Canis lupus familiaris: one gene and its partner. The protein of the gene in region 1 interacts with the protein of each later gene in a biochemical or structural test. Links are inferred from orthologs where the notes say so. Each region holds a gene or a part of one and is shown in the gene's direction. Other genes may lie near its edges.

Evidence for each region.
Region 2: the proteins of STAT2 (region 1) and IFNAR1 form a complex in vitro, tested with the Homo sapiens proteins (2 studies listed by BioGRID). The link is inferred for Canis lupus familiaris from reciprocal best matches to the Homo sapiens genes STAT2 and IFNAR1.

What each region holds. Positions count from the first base shown.
Region 1 is NC_049231.1:995,815-1,006,991, reverse strand, and holds part of STAT2 (signal transducer and activator of transcription 2), read left to right. Parts: intron 1-5,527; coding exon 5,528-5,686; intron 5,687-5,793; coding exon 5,794-5,886; intron 5,887-6,119; coding exon 6,120-6,179; intron 6,180-6,548; coding exon 6,549-6,566; intron 6,567-6,783; coding exon 6,784-6,877; intron 6,878-7,026; coding exon 7,027-7,074; intron 7,075-7,155; coding exon 7,156-7,239; intron 7,240-7,394; coding exon 7,395-7,493; intron 7,494-7,595; coding exon 7,596-7,731; intron 7,732-7,853; coding exon 7,854-7,906; intron 7,907-8,035; coding exon 8,036-8,130; intron 8,131-8,725; coding exon 8,726-8,862; intron 8,863-9,036; coding exon 9,037-9,219; intron 9,220-9,452; coding exon 9,453-9,510; intron 9,511-10,574; coding exon 10,575-10,897; intron 10,898-11,177. UniProt on the Homo sapiens protein: Signal transducer and activator of transcription that mediates signaling by type I interferons (IFN-alpha and IFN-beta).
Region 2 is NC_049252.1:28,540,607-28,551,783, forward strand, and holds the start of IFNAR1 (interferon alpha/beta receptor 1), read left to right. Parts: upstream 1-380; 5' UTR 381-439; coding exon 440-521; intron 522-589; exon of another isoform or gene 590-679; coding exon of another isoform or gene 680-752; intron 753-1,106; exon of another isoform or gene 1,107-1,254; intron 1,255-5,771; coding exon 5,772-5,895; intron 5,896-7,402; coding exon 7,403-7,581; intron 7,582-9,327; coding exon 9,328-9,485; intron 9,486-9,598; coding exon 9,599-9,737; intron 9,738-10,645; coding exon 10,646-10,787; intron 10,788-11,177. UniProt on the Homo sapiens protein: Together with IFNAR2, forms the heterodimeric receptor for type I interferons (including interferons alpha, beta, epsilon, omega and kappa).

The sequences.
Region 1 (11,177 bases):
CTGAAGGCAGACGCTTAACCACTGAGCCACCCAGGTGTCCCAAGACTTTATTTTTTATTATGAATAATATTCCATTGTATATATTCAACAAATATTTTGGTTTTTTCCCCCCAAGTTGTTGTTTTTGTGGAAATGGGTCAGTATTAGGTTCTTTGTAAGAAATGTAGAACACTGATTTGTGAGGGCAAACTCCATTTGTGGGAAGAAAACACAGAGTGGAGGTAGCCCTAAAGGTGAGGAACAGGTTTGATTTTTGACAGAATTTTCGAATCCACAGCATGCTGATCAACCTAGTGCTGTGCTGTAGTCTCACATTTCCTTTCTTGCTGTCGAAGATCTCTCCTTCCTGGTATCTGGGTTTATGCAGCTTCTTTTGGAAGTAAGCATCAGTGAAATGTTTGGGAATTTTCACACTGCTGATACCAATTTTGGTGGAGGTGGCAATAACAAATTTCTGGTGTGTTCTATGTAGAGGAATTCGATTGAGGGCCCGAGGTCCAGTCACAGGTAGCAACCCCCACTGCTCAAATGCTTCAGGAAAACCACCTTCTTGCCTCTGTGGAGCCCAGTGAGGATGATCAGAATGGTGCCAGGAGGGGACCTTGGTGGCTCAGTGGGTTAAGCATCTGCCTTCAGTTCAGATCATCATCTCTGGGCCCCGGGATCAAACCCTCCATGGGGTTCCCTGCTCAATGGAGAGTCTGTGTCTCCTTCTTCCTCACTCTCTCTGCCCCTCCCCCAGCTCATGTTCTCTCTTTTTTTTTTCTCTCTCTCTCAAATAAATAAATAAAATCTTTTTAAAAATAATGGTGCCAGGAGTGATGCTAGCTTTCAGAATTCTCCATGCTGACTGAATGGGGTTTTTTTTGCTCTGGCTCAAGAGCTTTTGAGGCACAGCGACAGGATAATACCTAGGCATTTTGTGAAGTTTAATCATTCAGGTACCGCCATTCTTGTTACCACCAACTGGTTTTGTGACCGTAGCAAGAACCTTCTCCTTTTTCTTTTCAACTCTGGATTTAGCTACTGAATGCTTCCTGTTGTACATGGCTTTTCTGGAATACATAGCCAATGGGAAATATGTGCCAGTTTCCTCTGACTAGGACACTTTTGGCTGCAATGGGGCGTCCCCTTCTTTGGCATTTTAACCTTGAGGTCACCATTTTTAATCTTGCCACAAGCATCAGCCTTCTTGGCTCCAGGTTTCTTCTCCTTAGTATCGGCTTCTTATCTTTTCACCCACCATCTTGCAAGATGGGAAAGGATTCTTTTTTTAAGTTTATTTAACTTACTTAAACCATCTCTGCACCCAATGGGGGGCTCAAACTCACAACCCTGAGATCAAGAGTTATGTGCTCTTCCCACTAAGCCAGCTGAGCACCCGGATTTCTTGCTATTTTATACTGTTGGAGTAAAAATCCTCATAACTACATCTTTATTTACATCCCTAATTATTTCTGTAATATAAATTCCTAGAAGTGGTATTCCTGGGTTAAAGTATATAGCTTTCCTTTTTGGTGGTGTTATGTTGATCCTTTGTTTTGTTTTTAAATATTTTATTTATTTATTTTTTAATATTTTATTTATTTAAGAGACAGTATGGGTAAGGGGGAGGGGCAGAGGGAGAGGGCAAGAAGCAGACTCCCCACTGAGTGTGGAGCCCAATGTGGGCCTTGATCCCAGGACCCTGAGATCATGACCAGAGCCTAAGTCAGTCGGTTAAGCATCCAACTCTTTGTTCAGGCAGATCATAGTCTTGGGGTTGTGGGATTGAGCCCCATGTGGAGCTCCCCCTCAACACAGAGTCTGCTTGAGATTCTTTCCCCCTCCCTCTCCCTCCCCTTCTGCTCCTCTGTGCTTCCACTCTCCCTCACTCTCTTTCTCTCTCAAATAAATAAAATAGATAACATATTTTAAAAAGGTGCAGGGGTGGGGGACACCTGGGTGGCTCAGTGGTTGAGCATCTGCCTTTAGCTCAGGGTGTGATCCCAGAGTTCTGGGATCGAGTCCCACGTCAGGCCTCCTGCATCGAGCCTGCTTCTCCCTCTGCCTATGTTTCTGTCTCTCTCTCTCTGTGTCTCTCATGAATAAATAAATAAAATCTCTTAAAAAGGGGGAAGGGGTGGGCTCCTGGGTGGCTCAGTGATTGAGCGTCTGCCTTAGGCTCAGGGCATGATCCCAAGGTCCTGGGATCTAATCCCACATCGGGCTCCCTACATGGAGCCTGCTTCTCTCTCTGCCTATGTCTGTGCCTCTCCCTCTGTCTCTTATGAATAAATAAAGAAATTCTTTTCTTTTTTTAAAGATTTTATTTATTTACTCATCGAGACAGAGAGAGAGAGGCAGAGACACAGGCAGAGGGAGAAGCAGGCTCCATGCAGAGACCCTGACGTGGGACTCTATCCAGGGTCTCCAGGATCACGCCCTGGGCTGCAGGCAGCGCTAAACCACTGCACCACTGGGGCTACCCTAAATAAAGAAATTCTTAAAAAGCGAGGGGGGGGTGGCGCTTGAATGACTCAGTCAGTTGTGTCTGCCTTCAGCTTGGGTCATGATCCCAGGGTCCTGGGATCAAGCCCTGCATCAGGCTCCCTGCCTAGTGGAGAGTCTGCTTCTCTCTGCCCCTCTCCCTGCTCATGTTTCTCTCTCTCTCTCTCTCAAATAAATAAAATCTCAAAAAAAGAAAAAGAAAGAGCTTTATTGATTTTTTTTATTATAAATATAATGTGTCTCAATTGGAAAAAAAAATTCAGACAACTTAAAAGAAAGTAAAAACTGCCTATCTGCATAACCTGATCATGCAGCGGTACTCAGTGTTAGGGCTTTTGAATACATTTTTTGCAAATTTTCCCTATGTATATACATAAATATACAATCCATCTATTTTAAAGGTTTTAAATTTGTTTAAGATTTATCTTTTTGACAAGGAGAAAGAGAAAGCAAGCACAAGCAGGGGGAACAGCAAAGGGAGAGGGAGAAGCAGCCTCCCCGCTAAGCAGGGAGCCCGATGCAGGGCTCAATCCCAGGAAATCATGACCCAAGCCAAAGGCTCAACTGGCTGAGCCACCCAGGCGCCCACCTACCAAAGGTTTTATATTTAAGTAATCTCTACATCTAACATGAGGTTTGAATTTACAACCCCAAGATCAAGAGTCACATGTTCCAGTGACTGAGCCAGTTGGGTGCCCCAAATATACATTTATTTATTTTTTATTTTTTAATTTTTTTTAAAGATTTATTTATTTATTTATGATAGACAGAGAGAGAGAGAGAGGCAGAGACACAGGAGGAGGGAGAAGCAGGCTCCATGCCGGGAGCCAGATGTGGGACTCTCTCCCGGGACTCCAGGATCACGCCCTGGGCCAAAGGCAGGCGCCAAACCGCTGAGCCACCCAGGGATCCCCCAAATATACATTTATTTTAAAAGAGGGCAGGGCAGCCCTGGTGGCTCAGCGGTTTAGCACCACCTTCAGTCCAAGGCATGATCCTGGATACCCAGGATCGAGTCCCATGTCTGGCTTCCTGCATGGAGCCTGCTTCTCCCTCTGTCTCTGCCTCTCTCTCTTTGTCTCTCATGAATAAATAAATAAAATCTTTGAAAAAAAAAATAAACGAGGGCAGGTCATATCATAAATGTACTATCTTGTGGTTTTTAGTTTTTATTTTATTTTTTTATCTTGTGGTTTTAAAAAATTTAATATTTTTAGATATTTTCCCATGTTAAAAATTTGAGCCTGGGGGCAGCCCCAGTGGCGCAGCGGTTTAGCGCCGCCTGCAGCCCAGGGCGTGATCCTGGAGACCCTGGATAGAGTCCCACGTCAGGGTCTCTGCATGGAGCCTGCTTCTCCCTCTGCCTGTGTCTCTGCCTCTCTCTCTCTCTGCATCTCTATGAATAAATAAATAAAATCTTAAAAAAAAAAAAAAAAGGGATCCCTGGGTGGTGCAGCGGTTTGGCGCCTGCCTTTGGCCCAGGGTGCGATCCTGGAGACCCGGGATCGAATCCCACATCGGGCTCCCAGTGCATGGAGCCTGCTTCTCCCTCTGCCTGTGTCTCTGCCTCTCTCTCTCTCTCTCTCTGTGACTATCATAAATAAATAAAAATTTTTTTAAAAATTTGAGCCTGGGTCACCTGACTGGCTCAGTTTGTGGAGCTTGCAACTCATTTTTATTCAAAGATTTTTTTAATTTATTCATGAGAGACATGGAGAAAGAGGCAGAGACATAGGCAGAAGGAAAAACAGGCTCCCCATGGGGAGCCCAATGTGGGACTCGATCCCAGGACCCTGGGATCACGACCTGAGCCAAAGGCAGATGCTCAACCACTGAACCACCCAAGTGCCTGAGCTTGCATGTGTATTATAGCATTATATGTTAATTCAATTGAAATAAAATTTTATTTGTTGATTTTTTTACATATTTTATTTATCTGTTCATGAGAGACAGAGAGAGAGAGAGGCAGAGACACAGGCAGAGGGAGAAGCAGGCTCCATGCAGGGAGCCATATGCGGGACTCGATCCCGGGACCTTAGGATCACACCCTGAGCCAAAGGCAGATGCCCAATTGCTGAGCCACCCAGGTGTCCCAGAAATAAAAAAATAAAATCAATTAAAAATTTTATGGCTGGCTCACTCAGTAGGGCATGTGAGTCCTGATCTGGGGGTCATGAGTTTGAGCCCCATGCTGGGTGTGGAGCCTACTTAAAAAAGTATGGACTGTGCAGCCAGAATGCCCGGATCACATACAGCTTACTCCATACTAGTTCTGTGACCTCAAGCAAGTCACTTAACCTTTCTCTAGAGTTTAATTATCTGTAAAATGAGGATAATAATAATAGCTGTCTCATAGGGTTGTTATAAGGATTAAATACAGTAAGCACTTAGAATAATAGTACATATGAAGGGTCATATGATTTTTTTTAAAGATTTTATTTATTTATTCATGAGACACACACAGAAAGAGGCAGAGACCCAGGCAGAGGGAGAAGCAGGCTCCATGCAGGGAGCCCGACGTGGGACTTGATTCCAGGACCCCAGGATCACACCCTGGGCTGAAGGTGGTGCTAAACCACTGAGCCACACCAAGCTGCCCTGAAGGGTCATATGAAAAGTAGCTTCATTACAGAAATAAATCTTTCACCATTTTTTTTTTAAGATTTGATTTTATTTATTCATGAGAGACACAGAGAGGCAGAGACATAGGCAGATGAAGAAGCAGGCTCCATGCAAGGAGCCCGATGCAGGACTCGACCTTGGACTCTGGGATCACGCCCTGGGCTAAAGGCTGATGCTTAACCACTGAGCTACCCAGGCGTCCCTTTTACCAGTTTTATATGTGGAAGTGCCTTTGATTTTTATTTCTTGGATTATGAATCATGTTGCATAATCTTTCCTAAGCTTCCTGGGTTCTTTTTTTATCCCAATCACTTTCTGCCTCTCCACATAGTAAAAGGGAAGCTTCTGGAGCCTGTCTGGGGAAGACCAGGAAACTCATCAGTTTGCTCTCTGTCTCTGGAATCCTATCACCTAGGTTCACAGCTGGAGCCAAGCTGTTGTTCCACCTGCGCCAGCTGTTGGAGGAGCTGAAGGGATTAAGTCACCTGGTTAGCTATCAGGATGACCCTCTGACCGCAGGGGTCAACCTGCGGAAGGCCCAGGTCCTGGAGTTGCTACAGCGCCTGCTCCACAGGTCTAGAGGCCGGGGAGGGACCTCCAGGGAGGGCAGAAGGAAAGAGCAAGAGGAGCTATTCCTGCAGAGACTGAACTCTGTATTCTCTCGGCCACCTCTCTCCCCAGAGCCTTCGTGGTAGAAACCCAGCCCTGCATGCCCCAAACTCCCCACCGACCCCTCATCCTCAAGACTGGGAGCAAGTTCACTATCCGAACAAGGTTGGCATTTCAGGACTCATTCCTGCTTCCTTTTTCCAGCCCTCATACTACTGTTTGCTTTCTGGCTTTAGATCTTTCCACTCTTGTCTTCTCCCTTTTCTCTTTAATCCACCTACCTCGTCTCTTTCTTTTTCTTTTTCCCATCTACCTCTTCTAATCTCTTACCTTATCTTTTCCCAACATTTGATCTCTCCAGGAGATTGAAGGTGACCACTTTCCCCTCTTCCACTTAGGCTCCTGGTGAGACTCCAGGAAGGCAACGAGTCACTGACTGCAGAAGTTTCCATTGACAAGTAAGTTGGGGCACGTGGGGCCACAGGGTGGCAGGGACATGGGCTGCTGGGGCAGAGGAGACCCACTCTTCACCCGAGGGCCCTGGGGCTGTGTTCCTACCCCGCCTCCTCGCTCTTGTTGAGCACTATGTGACATGCGGCTTGTCCAGTCCTCATTTGTCCCAGGAACCCTGTGAGTTAGGTATTAGCAGTGCACAGTTCAGATGGAGAGACAAGCCCAGAGAGATTGTGTCTCTTGTGCAAGGCCATAAGACTCGTGAGCACAGATTTGGGTTTGAATCCAGGTCTGTCTGATTCTAAAGACTAAACTCCTAACTTCTGCACTGTTTTGGTTCTCAGTGAATTTTTTTTTTTTTTTTTTTTTTTCAGGAATCCTCAATCACAAGGGTAGGTGTCTGATAAGGATGCTGCCGACTTGGGTGCACTGCACAACCTGCATAATAACCACATTGGGGCTCAGACAAGAAGGAGGTTGACTTGGTTGGGGGTTGGACAAAGGGAGGAGGGGAGGTCTGGAATGAAGTAGGATTTTTGTTGTTTTCCTGCTGAGTATTTAGAATAACTCTTCTCCTCTTCTCCATATATCTTCTTCCTCCTGGAATAGCTTCCGGAAGTTCAACATTCTAACCTCAAACCAGAAAACCCTGACCCCCGAGAAGGGGCAGAGTCAGGGCTTAATTTGGGACTTCGGTTACCTGGTAAGAAGGGCTAGCAGCCTAAGGTTCTGGTCCGGTGCAACGGGCTGAGGGAAGTTCCCAGGCCTTGGGAAGTCTTGAGGCGAAATAGGGGTTCCAGGGACCCTGGAGTCCTCACTCTGGCATTTATTTTATTTCCTGTCAACTCACAGACTCTGGTAGAACAACGTTCAGGTGGCCCAGGAAAGGGCTGCAATAAGGTGAGGCCTGGCCAGAGCAGCGGGGGGATGGGAGGAGCTTGCCACAGGGCCCGCTGACCGCTGTGTCTTCGGCTGTCCTAGGGCATGCTGGGTGTGACGGAGGAACTGCACATTATCAGCATTACAGTCAAATACACCTACCAGGGTCTGAAGGAGGAGCTGAAGGTGAGTGGAAATGGAGGGCAGGGAGAGATGAAGCAGATCTGGCGGAAGGCATTCAGGAGGCGTTAAAGGAAGCCTCTCCAGTGGGAAGTTCTCCTTTGCCTCTGTCAAAGCTAGAAACATCCCATCCCTCTCTCTGACTCTTGTTTTCTCTTCAGACAGACACCCTCCCTGTGGTGATTATTTCCAATATGAACCAAGTTTCCATTGCCTGGGCCTCGGTTCTTTGGTTCAATCTGCTTAGCTCAAACCCCCAGGTAGGAGATGGTGCTAATGGTGCTGGGTGGCAAGGAAGGGTGTGGACGCTTGGCCTGAGGGTGCTCCTTCTGAGCCATCCTGCCCTCTTCCCACTCTTGCAGAATCAGCAGTTCTTCTCCAGCCCTCCCATGGCACCCTGGAGCTTGCTGGGCCCTGCTCTCAGCTGGCAGTTCTCCTCCTATGTTGGCCGAGGCCTTGACCCAGACCAGCTGAGCATGCTGAGGAACAAGCTCTTTGGTACAAACCTCCTTTTCTCCCAGCCTTTCCCCAGCCGTAGTCTCCCCAGCCCTCCACCCTTTCTATTCCAAGGACCCTGGCCTTGCCTGCATCGATTACCTGAACTGTCTGTCTGTCCACAGGTCAGAACTCTAGGACTGAGGGCGCATTGTTATCGTGGGCCGACTTCACTAAGGTAACTCCCTGCATCCTGTGTGACTACGTCTAGCCCCTGTGCAAACACTAGTCCTTGCCCTCCTTACTGCCATCTGCTCACTGGGGGCGACTAATCATGTCTCTTCCTGCCTTTTCATTCCTCCTGCAGCGAGAGAGCCCTCCTGGCAAGCTACCATTCTGGACGTGGTTAGACAAAATTCTGGAGCTGGTACATGACCACTTGAAGGATCTCTGGAATGATGGGTAAGGCCTTGGTCAGTCTCCCTCGCCCCACCCCTAGCTTTCTGCCTTTCTGGGCTCGAGTGGACTCTGTGCGCCCTCATGTGGCAGAAAGGGAGAGAGCAAGCAAATGCTGGTGCAAGGTCACGCGCCTGACGTTTTCGCTCATGATAATAGTCCTAGCATCTGTTGTGCTCCAGAACCTGCTGGATGCTCCTTATGAACTCTCTCGTGTAATCCTTACAACCGTGTGGAGTCAAAGAGAAGTTAAAGAATTCACTCAAAAAAAAAAAAAAAAGAATTCACTCAATGAAAAAAAAAAAAAAAGAATTCACTCAATGGGCCTGCTTGGGACTCAAACCCAGGCCTCATCTGACTGCAGGCCTGTGCTCTTCCCATCACACTACCTGCTCATTTGCCTTTCCAAGGTGCTTTTTCATCTGTGACCACACTGAATCCTCAAACCTCTTCCAGCCCTAGAAGGTGGATACCGTCAGTAAGAGGAAGTGACTTGGCCAAGAGCAAGGGCCAAACCCTGGCGCTGTCTCCCTGTACAAGGAGAGCAGGACAGCAGGACAGCAGGGAGGCATGAGGGCCTCACAGCAGCTTTCTGTTTCAGACGCATCATGGGCTTTGTGAGCCGGAGCAAGGAACGCAGGCTGCTGAAGAAGACCATCTCTGGCACCTTTCTCCTGCGCTTCAGTGAAACATCAGAAGGGGGCATCACCTGCTCCTGGGTGGAACATCAGGATGATGGTCAGCTGCTTCGCCCCGATGTTCCCACAGCCTGTCCTTTATGTCCCTCTGCCAGCCCTTGGCTTCCCTGGTTCTGTCTTGAATCCCTCAGCAGGTTGGGGCTTAGATGGCCAGGGTGGGGGACTCCTAGACCCGACTGTTTCAGGCCTGCCTCTTCCCACATCCATTCTGCAGATAAGGTGCTCATCAACTCTCTGCAACCCTTCACCAAGGAAGTGCTTCAGTCTCTCCCACTGACCAAAATCATTCGCCACTACCAGCTGCTTACCGAAGAGAACATACCTGAGAACCCACTGTGCTTCCTCTACCCCCGAATCCCCCGGGATGAGGCTTTTGGGTGCTACTACCAGGAGAAAGGTAAGGATCGTTGATGTATGTCACTGAAGATTGCAGGGACTCAGGCATCTACAGATCCAGCTCCTTTCTTCCAGACATGGAAAAATTGGTAGCCAGAGAAACGAAAGGATTTGTCCCTGGGACATGGCTAGTTAGTAGGGAAATACAATTATCAAGACCGTTTACACGAGGGGTCCTTGGGCCAGGTGTCCAGTCCACTGACCTCCCTGTCCTCCTGCATATGTCCCCCACAGTTAATCTCGAAGAACGGAGGAAATACCTGAAACATAGGCTCATTGTGGTCTCTAACAGGTGAGAGATGCATTTCTTGCCCATCCTCCCTGGCCTTTGCTGGCTGATGTGGCGACCCAAACCCGCTCAGTTTGCCTCTCTGGCCTTCTTTCCTACGGGCCCATAGTCTCCAACCTCTAGGTTTTTTCCCTCGTTCTGCTAGCCTCTTTGTTCCCTAGTGCTCTGCTGCTATCCTTAGGTTGTTTCCACAGGGCTTCCCTGCTAATCAGAGTCATAATCACTGACGTTAATGGGCATCTACTTGAAGCATAGTACTAGATTTTTTTTTTTTTTTAGAAACAGATTTCTTTTTATTTTATTGAATTCTTCTGAGAACCCATCCAATTAGGTGATAACAGCCATATTTAAGAAAGTTTATTATGTGGCAGGTACTGGACTAAATATTTTGCATTTAGTTTCTTATTTATTGAATCTCCATAATAGTCCTGTGAGGCAGACATGGGTATTTCAGCCGAAGAGCCTGAGGTTTAGTGTGGTGAAATGGCATGCCTAAGGTACATGGCTAGTAAATGATCCAGGTCTGTCAGATTCCAAAGTCCTGCTTTTAACCATCCTACTCTCTGAAGCGTTATTAGGTGGTGATGGTTCCATTTTATCGATGATAAATCTGAGGCACAGAAAGCTGAAGATCACCTATCTAATAAATGATAGGATTCAAACTCTGGCAAGCCTAACTCCAAAGCCTGTGCTCTTAAACCCTCTGCTGTATTGCCCTGTTGCCACCTTTAAAAAAAAATTTTTTTTTTTAATTTATTTAAAAAGAGAGAGAGAGAGAGAGAGAGAGAATGCACGAGTAGGGCCGGGGTAGGAATAGAGGGACAAGCAGAGAGAATCTCAAGCGGACTCTGCTCTGAGCATGGAGCCCGACGCAGGGCTCAATCTCACCACCCTGAGATCATGACCTGAGCAGAAATCAAGAGTCAGATGCTTAACCAACGGAGTCACCCAGGTGCCCTTGCTCTCTTGCCTTCTCAGCCGAGAGAGATAGTCTCCGCTTGCTCCGCCATTCTCCAGTTCACCTAAACAACTAAGCCCTGCCCTTTTGTGTGTATTACCGCATCCAGACAGGTGGATGAGCTGCAACAACCGCTGGAGCTTAAGCCGGAGCCAGAAGCAGAGTCCTTGGAGCTGGAGACAGGACTAGACCCATTGCTACAGCAAGAGCCATGCCTGGAGTTAGAGCCACTGCTAGCGGCTGGGCTGGATCTGGGGCCACCACTGGAGCCCATGCTGGAGCCTACGCTAGACATGGTACCCCAGGGAGTGTCAGAACCAGACTTGGGACCAGAGCTGAGGCTGGAGCCTCTCCCAGACCCTGCATCACAGGCAGTGCCAGAGCCAGATCTGCCCCATGATCTGAGACACTTGAACACTGAGGAAATGGAAAGTAAGTGGTGAGATGGGCCTGGGGAAGTGGGGACACCTTCCCTTTACCAACTGCCCTCCCTTTCCCATTATAGAAAAGGCTAAACTCTAAGCTCCTCATTGGAGGGAGGCTCATTTCTTTGTGATCCCTTTTATTATGAAATGTAAACGCCTTCTCCTTCCCTGACCTAAGTGCCCCCTCACACCTTGTCCAGGCCTCTACTGCCATCCTCCTTCATTTTCCCTGCGGGATTGGGAACTTCTTACCAAAGATCAGGGACTGATTTCTTTTTCTGGACTGT
Region 2 (11,177 bases), on another chromosome or scaffold:
CGCCCCGGCAGCCAGGGCCCCGGCCGCTCTGGCCGTTGCTCACGGCGCTCTGCACCCAGGAATCCGCCTGGCGGCTCGCGGCTTCCTCACCGCCGCCCCTCCGTGTCCGCGACCGCGCGGGGGAGCGAGGCCGGGCAGCGCGCGCCCGGCTCCCGCCGGGTCAAGGCGTTCCGCTGGGCGTGGCCTTGCTGGAAGGGGGCGGGCGGCCGTGGGCGGCGACTGGCGGTAAGGACGGGGCGAGGCGCCACCCGGTCCCCGCCGCGCACGCGCGGTCCGCCGCCTCCCCCCACCTCCCCGCGGAGGACTCGTAGGGCGGGGTGAGCGCGGAGGGGCGGGGAGGGAGGGAGGAAGGAAGGGTGGGAGACGCGGCCGCGGGCGAGGGGCGGCCTTTGCGCGAGGATGAGCTCGCGCCGCCCGGTTCCGCGGGACGGGACCGAGGATGGGGCTCGCTCGGCCAGCGGCGGCCCCGGACGATGCTCCCCCTCCTGGGCGCGACGCCCCGGGTGCTGCCCGCAGGCGGGGTGAGAGGCGGTGGGCGGGGCGAGCGCGGGAGGGGGAGAGGGGAGGGGAGAAAGGAAGGGGCGGGGCGGCCTTTGCGGAGGGTGAGCTGCCCGGCGTCGCCGGATTCGGCGCGAGGTGCCGGAGGATGTGACCCGCTCGGCCAGGGCGGCCCCGGACGATGCTCACCCTCCTGGGCGCGACGACCGTGGTGCTGGTGGCGGGGGCGCCGTGGATGCTGCCCGCAGCCGCAGGTCAGAGACGCGGGGCCTCGGCGCAGGCCCGGGGCGGGGCGAGGGGCTGGGCGGTGGGGTCCGGGGAAGGGACTGGCGCAGACCGCGCGGAGGCCTCCCGGGGTCCTTCCGGAGACCTCGGCCCGAAAGCCGGGCGGTAATGGTGTTCGAGCATCCTTGCACGCCGCTGGCTTGCGGGCCTGCGCACCGGTCCCCGGCGGCGGACGCCCCCCCCCCACCCCGCTTCCACCCTCGCCGCGCCGGGCGAGCCCCGGCCGTCCTGTCCACTTTGCTTCTCTCCCAGGAATCCGGGAGCTCGGCTGGACCCTGAAATAATAAACGAGGCTTTAGCCGCGAAACAGTGTTGCTGTGCCTGAAACGTTGTCTCAATGTGACAGTTACTCAGTCCCACGTGAGAGAGGCCGGGATTGCGGGAATTTCTCTGCCTTCAAGGCTTCGTGGAGTCTAATACAAAGTAACAAAGGAAAATGCGCGGCCAAGAAACACAGTCTGGGACCATCAGGCCAGTTTGCCGCCCTTATTAATACTTAACTAGGGAGCCGCTGGGGGGTGGGGATGGCAACTATTAAAAGGTTGACTGTGTAGTGAGGAGGGGTTACCCAGTGAGAAAAAGGGCCTAGGGGATCCCTGGGGGGCTCAGCGGTTTAGCGCCTGCCTTTGGCCCAGGGCGCGATCCTGGAGACCCGGGATCGAGTCCCACGTCGGGCTCCCGGTGCATGGAGCTTGCTTCTCCCTCTGCCTGTGTCTCTGCCTCTCTCTCTCTATGTCTGTCTTGAATAAATAAATAATAAAAAATCTTTAAAAAAGAAAGAAAGAAAGAAAGAAAGAAAGCCTAGCACCACCGCAGGGCAGGAATCCAAGGGGTCAGTGAGGCCACCTAATATGTTCAAAATCCCTGTTTGCTTAGAAAAGCGAACCCTGATGTGGTACAAGAGTATCCTACTGCTCAAACTCTTCAATAAATATAGTATATATAGTAGATGGGTACAGTGGTCCTGGTATAACCCATGGTAATTTCTTTGAAGTCTTTTGTTCTTCAAATTTTTGTATTCGGCTCATTGTGCTGTAATATAAAACGAATTTTGGGACACCTGGGTGGCTCAGCGGTTGAGCATCCGCCTTTGGCTCAGAGCGTGATCTGGGAGTCCCGGGATCGAGACCCACATCGGGCTCCTGCAAGGAGCCTGCTTCTCCCTCTGCCTATGTCTCTGCCTCTCTGTGTGTGTGTGTCTCATGAATAAATACATAAAATCAAAAAAATAAAAAGAATTTCCCCGAGAATTCTCATGTGAAAGTAGCATTTCTGGAGGATGTACATTAAGATCCTTATTTTAATCTAAATTAGGGGAGGGCTGCTAAAATAAACTTTATATACAGCTAGCATTATATTAGAGTTATACACAGCTTAACTGTGTGCCAAGCAATTATCTAGATGCTTTAAAGGTATAAACTCATTTAGTTTTCTGTAAAAAGCTACACACTGTTATCCTCGTTTTACAGGTGAACGGAGACACTGAATAGCTTGCTTAGGGCCATACAGCTAGCCAGTGACCAAACCGGAAATTAAACCCTGGGAATCTGGCAGCAGTGCCCTGGGCTTAAGACTTGTCTGTTTTCCTAAAGGTTAAACTATTTAAATTCTCAATTATCCATCAATACTATTAAGTTCCTCATTATCATTCAATTAACTAATGTGTTTTTATTCCTCAAAGGAGTAATAAAATGTTCAAAACCAAATGAAATGTTGACCAGAACTGGAGATCCTAATGTTGCTTCCTTTCAAAGTCATAAAAATATTCATTCTTTTCAACCTAGTGAATGCAATTCTAGGACCCTGGCCTAAGAAAATTAACAAAATACGGGAGGAAATTTTTATTTGGATGGATGTGTCTGGATTTATGTCAGACTTTAAAAGACTGTAAATCGGGACGCCTGGGTGACTCAGCGGTTGAGCGTCTGCCTTTGGCTCAGGTCATGATCCTGGTCCCCACAATCGAGTCTGGCATCAGGTTCCCTGCAGGGAGCCTGCTTTTTTCCCTCTGCCTATGTCTTTGCCTCTCTGTGTCTCATCAATAAATAAAATCTTTACAAAAAAAAAGAGAGAGAGACAGTAAATTGTTTCTGATCATCCATAGGAATGTGAAAGGTTAGAAGCAACCAGTTGTGTAAGTGGGAGTATTGGATCAAGTGCCCATTTATAGATCTTAGACACTACAGAGTGAAATAGACTGTTTTCAAACAGATATTGGTAATATGAACAGAACAAAATCTGTGAAATCGAAAACACTGTTTAATAACTATTTCTTTGTCATTTATCAGTTATCTGTTGGTCTCCCAAATGCCAAGATGCCCCAAATTGCAGTCTCCTTTCTTTAGCTGAAGGACGGCATCCCAGAGGCAATTCCTGGTTCTACCACCATCAGATTTCCTCTCCCTGTCTCAAGGCCCAGAATTACTGGAATTAGACTAGTCCAGACCAGAGATGACAAATGCCATCACACCTTTGGTTGATTCCTATAAACCCAGCTATGGGTTTATAGACCCGTAGCTGCATTGAAACTATAAAATCACAACAAATGGAATGGGAATTAAGTTTAGAGAAGTGGAATAAGGGAAAGTCTCCAAGCAAGTAAGTGTAAAGAAGAAAATTGAAGGAGGGGAGACTCACTGAGGAGCTCCCCAAATTAAAAATAAAGTTTTCAAAAAAAATAATAAATAAAAGATAAAAATAAAGTTTTCAGAAAATGTTATCTCAGCTCCTCCCCCTTTGGACTCCATACCATAACATCTCTAGCTGGAAAATAGAGTGAGCAGTACCAATAAAGAAATTTCTAGGGACCTCTGAGTGGCTCAGTGGTTTGGTGCCTGCCTTTGGCCCATGGTGTGATCCTGGAGACCCGGGATCAAGTCCCATGTCGGGCTCCTTGCATGGAGCCTGCTTTTCCCTCTGCCTGTCTCTCTCTCTCTCTCTCTCTCTCTCTCTCTCTTTCTCTGTGTCTCTCATGAATAAATGAATAAAATCTAAAAAAAAAAAAAAAAAGTTCTACATAAGGACGCCTATGGTTGAAAGTCTACAAGGAGGGAACATGCTTGCCCTGAGACAAAAATAAAGGATGTATTGTAGGAACAAGAGATAAATAAATGTAAAAGCCAGCCTTTTAAAAAGTTTAGATTATTGGGGCACCTGGATGGCTCAGTGGTTAAGCATCTGCCTTGAGCTCAGGGTATGATCCCAGGGTCCTGGGATCAAGTTTCACATCAGGCTCCCTGCAGGGAGCCTGCTTCACCTTCTGCCTATGTCTCCATCTCTCTGTGTCTGTCATGAATAAATAGATAAAATCTTAAAAAACAAATTGTAGCTTGTCATAGTGAAAGATCAACCTTTTGTGATGAAGAAACTCCTCTAACCCCAGCACTGTGCTGAGAACTCTGAAAAATGCAGATTAAGTATGCAGCTGTATAGACTCTGTCCTCAAGGAGTTTGTAATCTGATTGGAGATTGTGTTTAATGCAAAGAAACTGCTGGTTTTCTCTTGAAACATCTTCATTCAGCAAGTTTTGAGATCCTAGTAGATGTCAGGTACTGTGTCGTGTACTGTGCTTTAGTGTGAAATTGAGGGGTATAGATGTGTGCTACAGCATGTAAGGAAAGAGCAAAGTTAGCATGAGCTGAAGTCCTTGATGATGGTTTTCTGTAAGGGGTCCAACGTGAGCTGGATCTGGGTAATATTTGGTCAGTCAGAGAGGAAGAAAAGCACAGGTGGAAGAGGCCAAAAGGGAAAAATAAGAGAGGACGTCAAACTCTGGGAAGATTCGTACTCGAAGCATAAGAAATAATAGATCTCTGGACTGGAGACTGGAAGTCCTTAAAAGTAATCAGAAGGGTTCGGGCTTAATATGAACACCTTTATGAGTTCCTATAGTGCTTGGCTGACATAAGAAACATTCATCTCTCTCTCTCGATTTTGTCATGTGAATATTTGTTTCTGTGTATGGCTGTTGACTTTGAAATCTCACCTGTTCCGTTCTTTAACAGAATACATAAAGCATGAATAATAAGATGTGAAACAAAACTGAGGCCACTAAACCATGAAACCTTGTATCTTTTACATCACTTTTAAGACCAAAGAAAATTTTTATGCAGAGACAATTTCTTCCTTTTTTCGTTTTTAACTTTAATTGCTAAAAAATGCCAGCTGTCATCTGAGCTTGCAGATGAGTTGTAATCTATCTGCAGGTGGAAGGTGTTTTATTTTTCATCACAATGAGTATGGCCTTTAATCCCCTTCACCCATTTCCCGCCTCCCTTCCGCCCCCTCCCCTCTGGTGACTGTCAATTTGTTCTCTAGAGTTGAGTCCATTTCGTGGTTTGCCTTTCTTTTTTTTTTTTTTTTTAACCTTTGCTCATTTGTTTTGTTTCTTAAATTACACATATAAGTGAGATCATATGGTATTTGTCTTTCTCTGACAGACTTACTTCACTTAGCATAATACTCTCTAATTCCATCCATGTCATCGCAAATGGCAGATTTAATTCTTTTCTATGGCTGAACCTTCATCAGTTGATGGACACTTGGGGTGCTTCCATAACTTGGCTGTTGTAAATAATGCTGCTATGAACATAGGGGTGCATGTATTCCTTCGAATTAGCGTTTTGTATGTCTTGGGTAAAGAGACTTTTAATTAAAAGATAAGGCTGATTTATCTTTCCTTATTTTTTCCAGCTTTACTGAGATACTTAGGACATAGAAGGCTTACTTTTTATAGATTTAAAAAAAAAAAAAAAACCTCAGCCTTTTTCCAGCTCTCTCAAAAGCAAAGATTACATAAATAATTAGCAGCCTCCCTGTGCTGAGAGCAATCATTAGGGTATTTTTTTTTTATTTAGATTTTTGCATGTACTTTATTATATATGAATGTATTCATTCTTTAATCAATGATGTGAAAGGAAGAACAACATTTTTAAGAATATTTACAGTGTACATGTGATTGTCTTCTGTCTTGTTTCTTTATTTCCAGGAGGAACAACTCTAAAATCTCCTCAAAATGTAGAGGTCTACATCGTTGATGATACCTTTATCCTAAGGTGGAACAGGAGCAACCCGTCTATCAGGAATGTGACCTTTTCAGCATATTATCAAACGTATGTGACTATTGATTGATTTGCAAGAATCACCTGAAATTTTTAAAAAATTACCATACCATCGTTTATTTCTCAGATTTGGGAAACAATTGGTTTTTCTATCTTTTACAGAAACTTTATGTCTATGTAATATTTATAACTTACATTTCTACAAATAGAGACTTCATCCACTTGACCTTTGGGTGTTGTAGCAAAAGAGATTTGGGGGATGAGGATGGCAGACAGCTTCTGTAGACCACAGCCCTACCTTCTCTCTTCTAGATGCTCCACCTTCTTTGAGTATATATTAGGGTCCGAACTAGAACATGTCTTGAGGATATGGAAGAGGACCCCAAAAGGTCTATCCGTGGTCTTGAAATAGCCCCCCAGTTCTCCGGTGGTCAGGATTTTTCAATTCTCCCCATCATATACAACATTTTAATTTTAGATAAAATTTATTAACATGAGCATATTGGATCCTCTTTTTCCACAGACTCTTTTTCTAGAGTTTATGCCTTCTCCCTAGCACTTTCTACTTTGTAGCTGCCAAGAGGCTGGGCAAGCAGGGAGTTGCAGAAGAAGGGATTACAGAAGAACACAGCTCAGCAAGTACAGTGCTTTGCTTTGGGTGTCAGGGCCCTGTGTGCTAACCATGATCTCTGTCCAAGAAACAGCGGCCAGTAATTGGGCAGTGAAAAAACAGGGTGTAGGACCTCTAGAACAAGGATCTCCCCACTTCAACCACAACCCTGGCACTGCTGTTTTCTAGTCGATTGTTAATAATCTCGCAGCTTTAGCCATTTGTGTGTGTATGTACGTGTGTACACATGTGTATACACCTGTATACATACATACGTGTTTTTTCTCTTAATTAGCCACTTAAGAATTTTTATCTCTAGAGATTTTCTTTAAATTGAACTTTGAGGGCAGCCCGGGTGGCTCAGCGGTTTATCGCCTGCTTTCAGCCCAAGGTATGATCCTGGAGACCTGGGATTGAGTCCTACATCAGGCTCCCTGCGTGGAGCCTGCTTCTCCCTCTGCCTATGTCTCTGCCTCTCTCTCTCTCTCTGTGACTATCATAAATAAATAAAAATTTAAAAAAAATAAAAAAATAAAGTAACCCTCTTGGGGCACCTGGGTGGCTCAGTGGTTGAGCATCTGCCTTTGGCTCAGGGCGTGATGCCAGGTCCTGGGATCAAGTCCTGCATCGCACTCCCCGCAAGGAGCCTGCTTCTCCCTCTGCCTGTGTCTCTGCCTCTCTCCCTGTGTGTCTCTCATGAATAAATAAATAAAATCTTTTAAAAAAATGATCAGAGTTATTCCATGTTATAAATAAAAGCTTGGTATGTCTGTGCTGAACAAGAGTGCCACATGGCAACTCAAATGTTAACAGGACATTAACTCATAGAATAACTACTTAGCCTAGTTTTATAATAGCTTCAGTTTTTAGTAAACAGAAACCGTGTCTGACAGTCTTTTGTATTTTTATACATTTGCTTATTTGTTCATCTGCTTTTTTATCTTAAAGACTTGGAAATGATACTTGGTTAAAATTGCCTGGGTGTCAGTCTGTTGCCAACACCACGTGCGACTTTTCTTCACTCAAGCTCAATGTTTACGACAAAGTTAAATTGCGTATAAGAGCAGAGGAAGGAAACAACACTTCTCCGTGGCATAATATTGACTCATTCACCCTATTTGAAAAAGGTAAGAGGAAGTTGCCAGCTGAATTATAGAATATTCCTCGTTTACTGTTACCATAAGGGCTCACTTCCCAAGCCCATTCATGTGCGTGATGTGAAATCTCCCACTTAAAAAAAAAAAAAAAAGCCAAACTGTTTTCATAATAATTCCAAGACTTCTCTGCCCCTTTTCCATGAGTATAGAGTTTTTTAAAAGAATATAAAAAATATTCTGGAGTTTTCCAGAGGCTGATGGATCATAGGGAGATTGGTGGGGTGACTTCCAGAGGTGGGTGTGAGATAACATCTGTCGTCTTTGTTAAGACAGTAATGGGACTAGATTTGACACAGCACCACTATTCTCACTATGTTTGTTTTGGGAAAATAGAGTTATTTTTTATAACAAATACTTGTTACGGCACAGTGGGCTTATCATTATTACCTGTTAACGAATTAATATTTTAAAATGTTAGCAGTTTTCACATTTTCTGTGCTAAATATTCAAAGACATAATCCATATCAACAAAAGCTCTTTCATTTTTTTTTAAGATTTTATTTATTTATTCATGAGAGACACAGAGAGAGAGGAGCCAAGACACAGGCAGAGGAGAAGCAGGCGCCATGCAGGAAGCCTGATGTAGGATTCGATCCTGGGACTCCAGGATCACACCCTGGGCCAAAGGCAAGCGCCAAACCGCTGAGCCACCCAGGGATCCCCAACAAAAGCTCTTTCAGACCCTCAGTTTCTCTGAGTTTGAAGGGGTCCTGAGAGTTAAACAGTTGGGAATCCCAGCCCTCTATCACAACCCCTGAGAAGGATGATCTCTGTCCCTCTCGGCACTTCTTGGCCTGCCACTCCCTCTGCAGCCCTGTGCATGTGACCTCCTTTCCTGTCACTATACAGAAGCCACTCCTGTTGGGGCACCTGGGTGGCTCAGCGGTTGAGCGTCTGACTTTGGCCCAGGTCGTGATCCCAGGGTCCTGGGATCAAGTCCCTTATTGGTCTCCCCGCATGGAGCCTGCTTCTCCCTCTGCCTGTGTCTCTGCCTCTCTCTGTCTCTCTCATGAATAAATAAATATTTTTTAAAATCTTAAGAAAAAAAATGAAAAAAGGAAAATAAACCACTCCTGTCAAGGACTCTGGTGCCCTCCTCAATGCCGAGAGACTTCCCAGCCCTCCTCTGGCTCAGAACCTGTGTAGGGCCACAGTGATCACTGGAAGCCCATCCGTTTCTGGGTCTCCAGGGCCCTGATCCCTGTCAGCTCCTTTCCTGCTCATCCTTCCCTCCTTTGCCCCTTTCTCCAGGCCTTGCAGGCCTTTCGGTGCCAGATTACCGCAGGGCTGGATTGTCCTACTTCTTCTTTTTCTACCCTCGGTCCTTCCAATCTGTGTGCCCTTGAGAAAAGCTCAAACTTACATCTCCAGCCCCACTCCTTTCCCTTAACCGTGACACTTGTATCACCAGCTCTCTAGTCACCATCTCTGCTTGGGCGTCTGAGTCATCAGGTCAAACAAAGCTCTTGATTTCCCACTCCAAACCTGCTCCTCTTGCAGCTAATTTTCCATCCCCACTACAGATGGCACCTGTTTCATTGATAGCGCCAAGAGCTTTGGAGTCACTTTTAGCATCCCTTTTCCTTAAAATCCTGCATCCGTTCTGTCAACACATTGAATGATCAACTTTGAGAGTGCGTACCCTGGAGCGGATCCCTGAATGTTTCCACCCTCTATTAATGAAGTGATCAAATAAATGTGTTCATTTCTTTACAGCTCAGATTGGTCCCCCAAAAGTACATTTAGAAGCCGAAGATAAGACAATCATAATAAACATCTCCCTGCCTGGAGCGAGAGACAGCGTCATGTGGGCTCTGGATAGCTCCAGCTTTACCTACAGCTTAGATATCTGGAAAAACTCTTCAAGTGGAGAAGTAAGCATTCTTTGTACCTCTGTTTAATGGGAGAGAAAAAAGACAAGAATTTGTTCTCCATTTTGACCTTTTTCTTTTTTTTGAAGAGCAGTATTCTATTTGTTTTATTCTAGAGAAGGACTGAAACTGTTTACTCCAGAGATAAAATTTATAATCTCTCACCAGAGACCACTTACTGTTTAAAAGTTAAAGCAAGACTTTTGCCGAGAAAAAACGGTATCTATAGTCCTGTGTACTGTATAAAGACCCCAGGTAAGGAGGAAGTTCTGCTGTAGATTCCATAACTATATATACAGGTGGGCAGTCTCTTGATGTTGGCGGTTTTGCCCTTTGTTGCTGACGTTTATAGGATGGTTTTAATAGATATTGAAACAAAAACATTACAATAGCACTTAGATAAGCAAAAAAAAAAAAAATCACCGTATTTGGGATTTTTGTCTCAAGTGAACAGTAATGAAAGTTCTGCCTAGGGGCGCCTGGGTGGCTCAGTCAGTTAAGCATTTCTGCTCAGGTCATGATCTCAGAGTCCTGGGATCGAGTCCCACATCGGGCTCCCCTCAGGGAGCCTGCTTCTGCCTCTGCCTGTGTCTCTGCCTCTCTCTAAGTGTCTCTCATAAATAAATCTTTAAAAATAAAAAAATGGGATCTTGCTAGATATATCTTACAACTTGCTTATTTAACTTATTACATTGAGGATCTCTTCATATGTCAGCACATACGATCTATCATGTTCTTTTTTTTTTAATTTTAAGATTTTATTTATTTAGTTAAGAGAGAAAGAGCACAAGCCAGAGATGGGGACAGGAAGCAGCAGAGGGAGAGGGAGAAGCAGACTCCCCACTAAGGAGGGAGCCCAACGCGGGGCTTGACCCCATTACCCTGGGATCATGACCTGACCTGAAGGCAGACACTTAACCGACAGAGCCACCCAGGCACCCCTATCCCATTCTTTTTAAGTGGGTGATACTATCCCATAGTGTAAACCCACACCGTAACTCATGTGTAAGCCTTTTATTTTCTTGCCCATGCTGTTAAGAATTCTTCCCATGTATCTCTCTCGTGCTCAAATAAATAAATTTTTAAGAAAAAAAAAGAACCCTTACCATGTATTCTCACTCAAGTAAAAATGTATGCTTTTCTCTGTATTCTCTGTCTTCTAGTTGCAAATAAACTGCCTCCACCAGAAAACATCCGGCTTGATTCTAAAAACAACATCTTTGTTCTTAGATGGGATTACCCCTATGGAAGTGTGAAATGGGGTCACGCACGTCCAAATGTTACTTTCCAAGCTCAGTGGCTCTAGTAAGTTCTCATCCATGAGTGTCCCTTTGCCCAATTTCTTAGGGTTCCTTGCACTGGGCTTCGGCCCGCTACAGCTCTCTGCACAGGTGACTGCTTCAGGAGATTATACCATATTGGAAACGGGGTGTTTTCTCTTGGGCCCAACTCTGCGGTTAACTAACCAGTGACACTGAGCTGATCCCTTAGTCTCTTTGGGCCTCGGTCTCTTCGTTTGTTGTAAAGTGGGCATATTTCTAATAAGGTCTCGTGGACTTACTGCATTTTTCTTTTTTCTTTTTTCTTTTCTTTTTTTCTTTTTTTTTTTTTTAAGTCTGCCTCTCTTTATGTGTGTCTTACTATTTCCTCAGTCTGGAGTAATTGACAGATGACCCTGACCTTTCCTTCAGAACT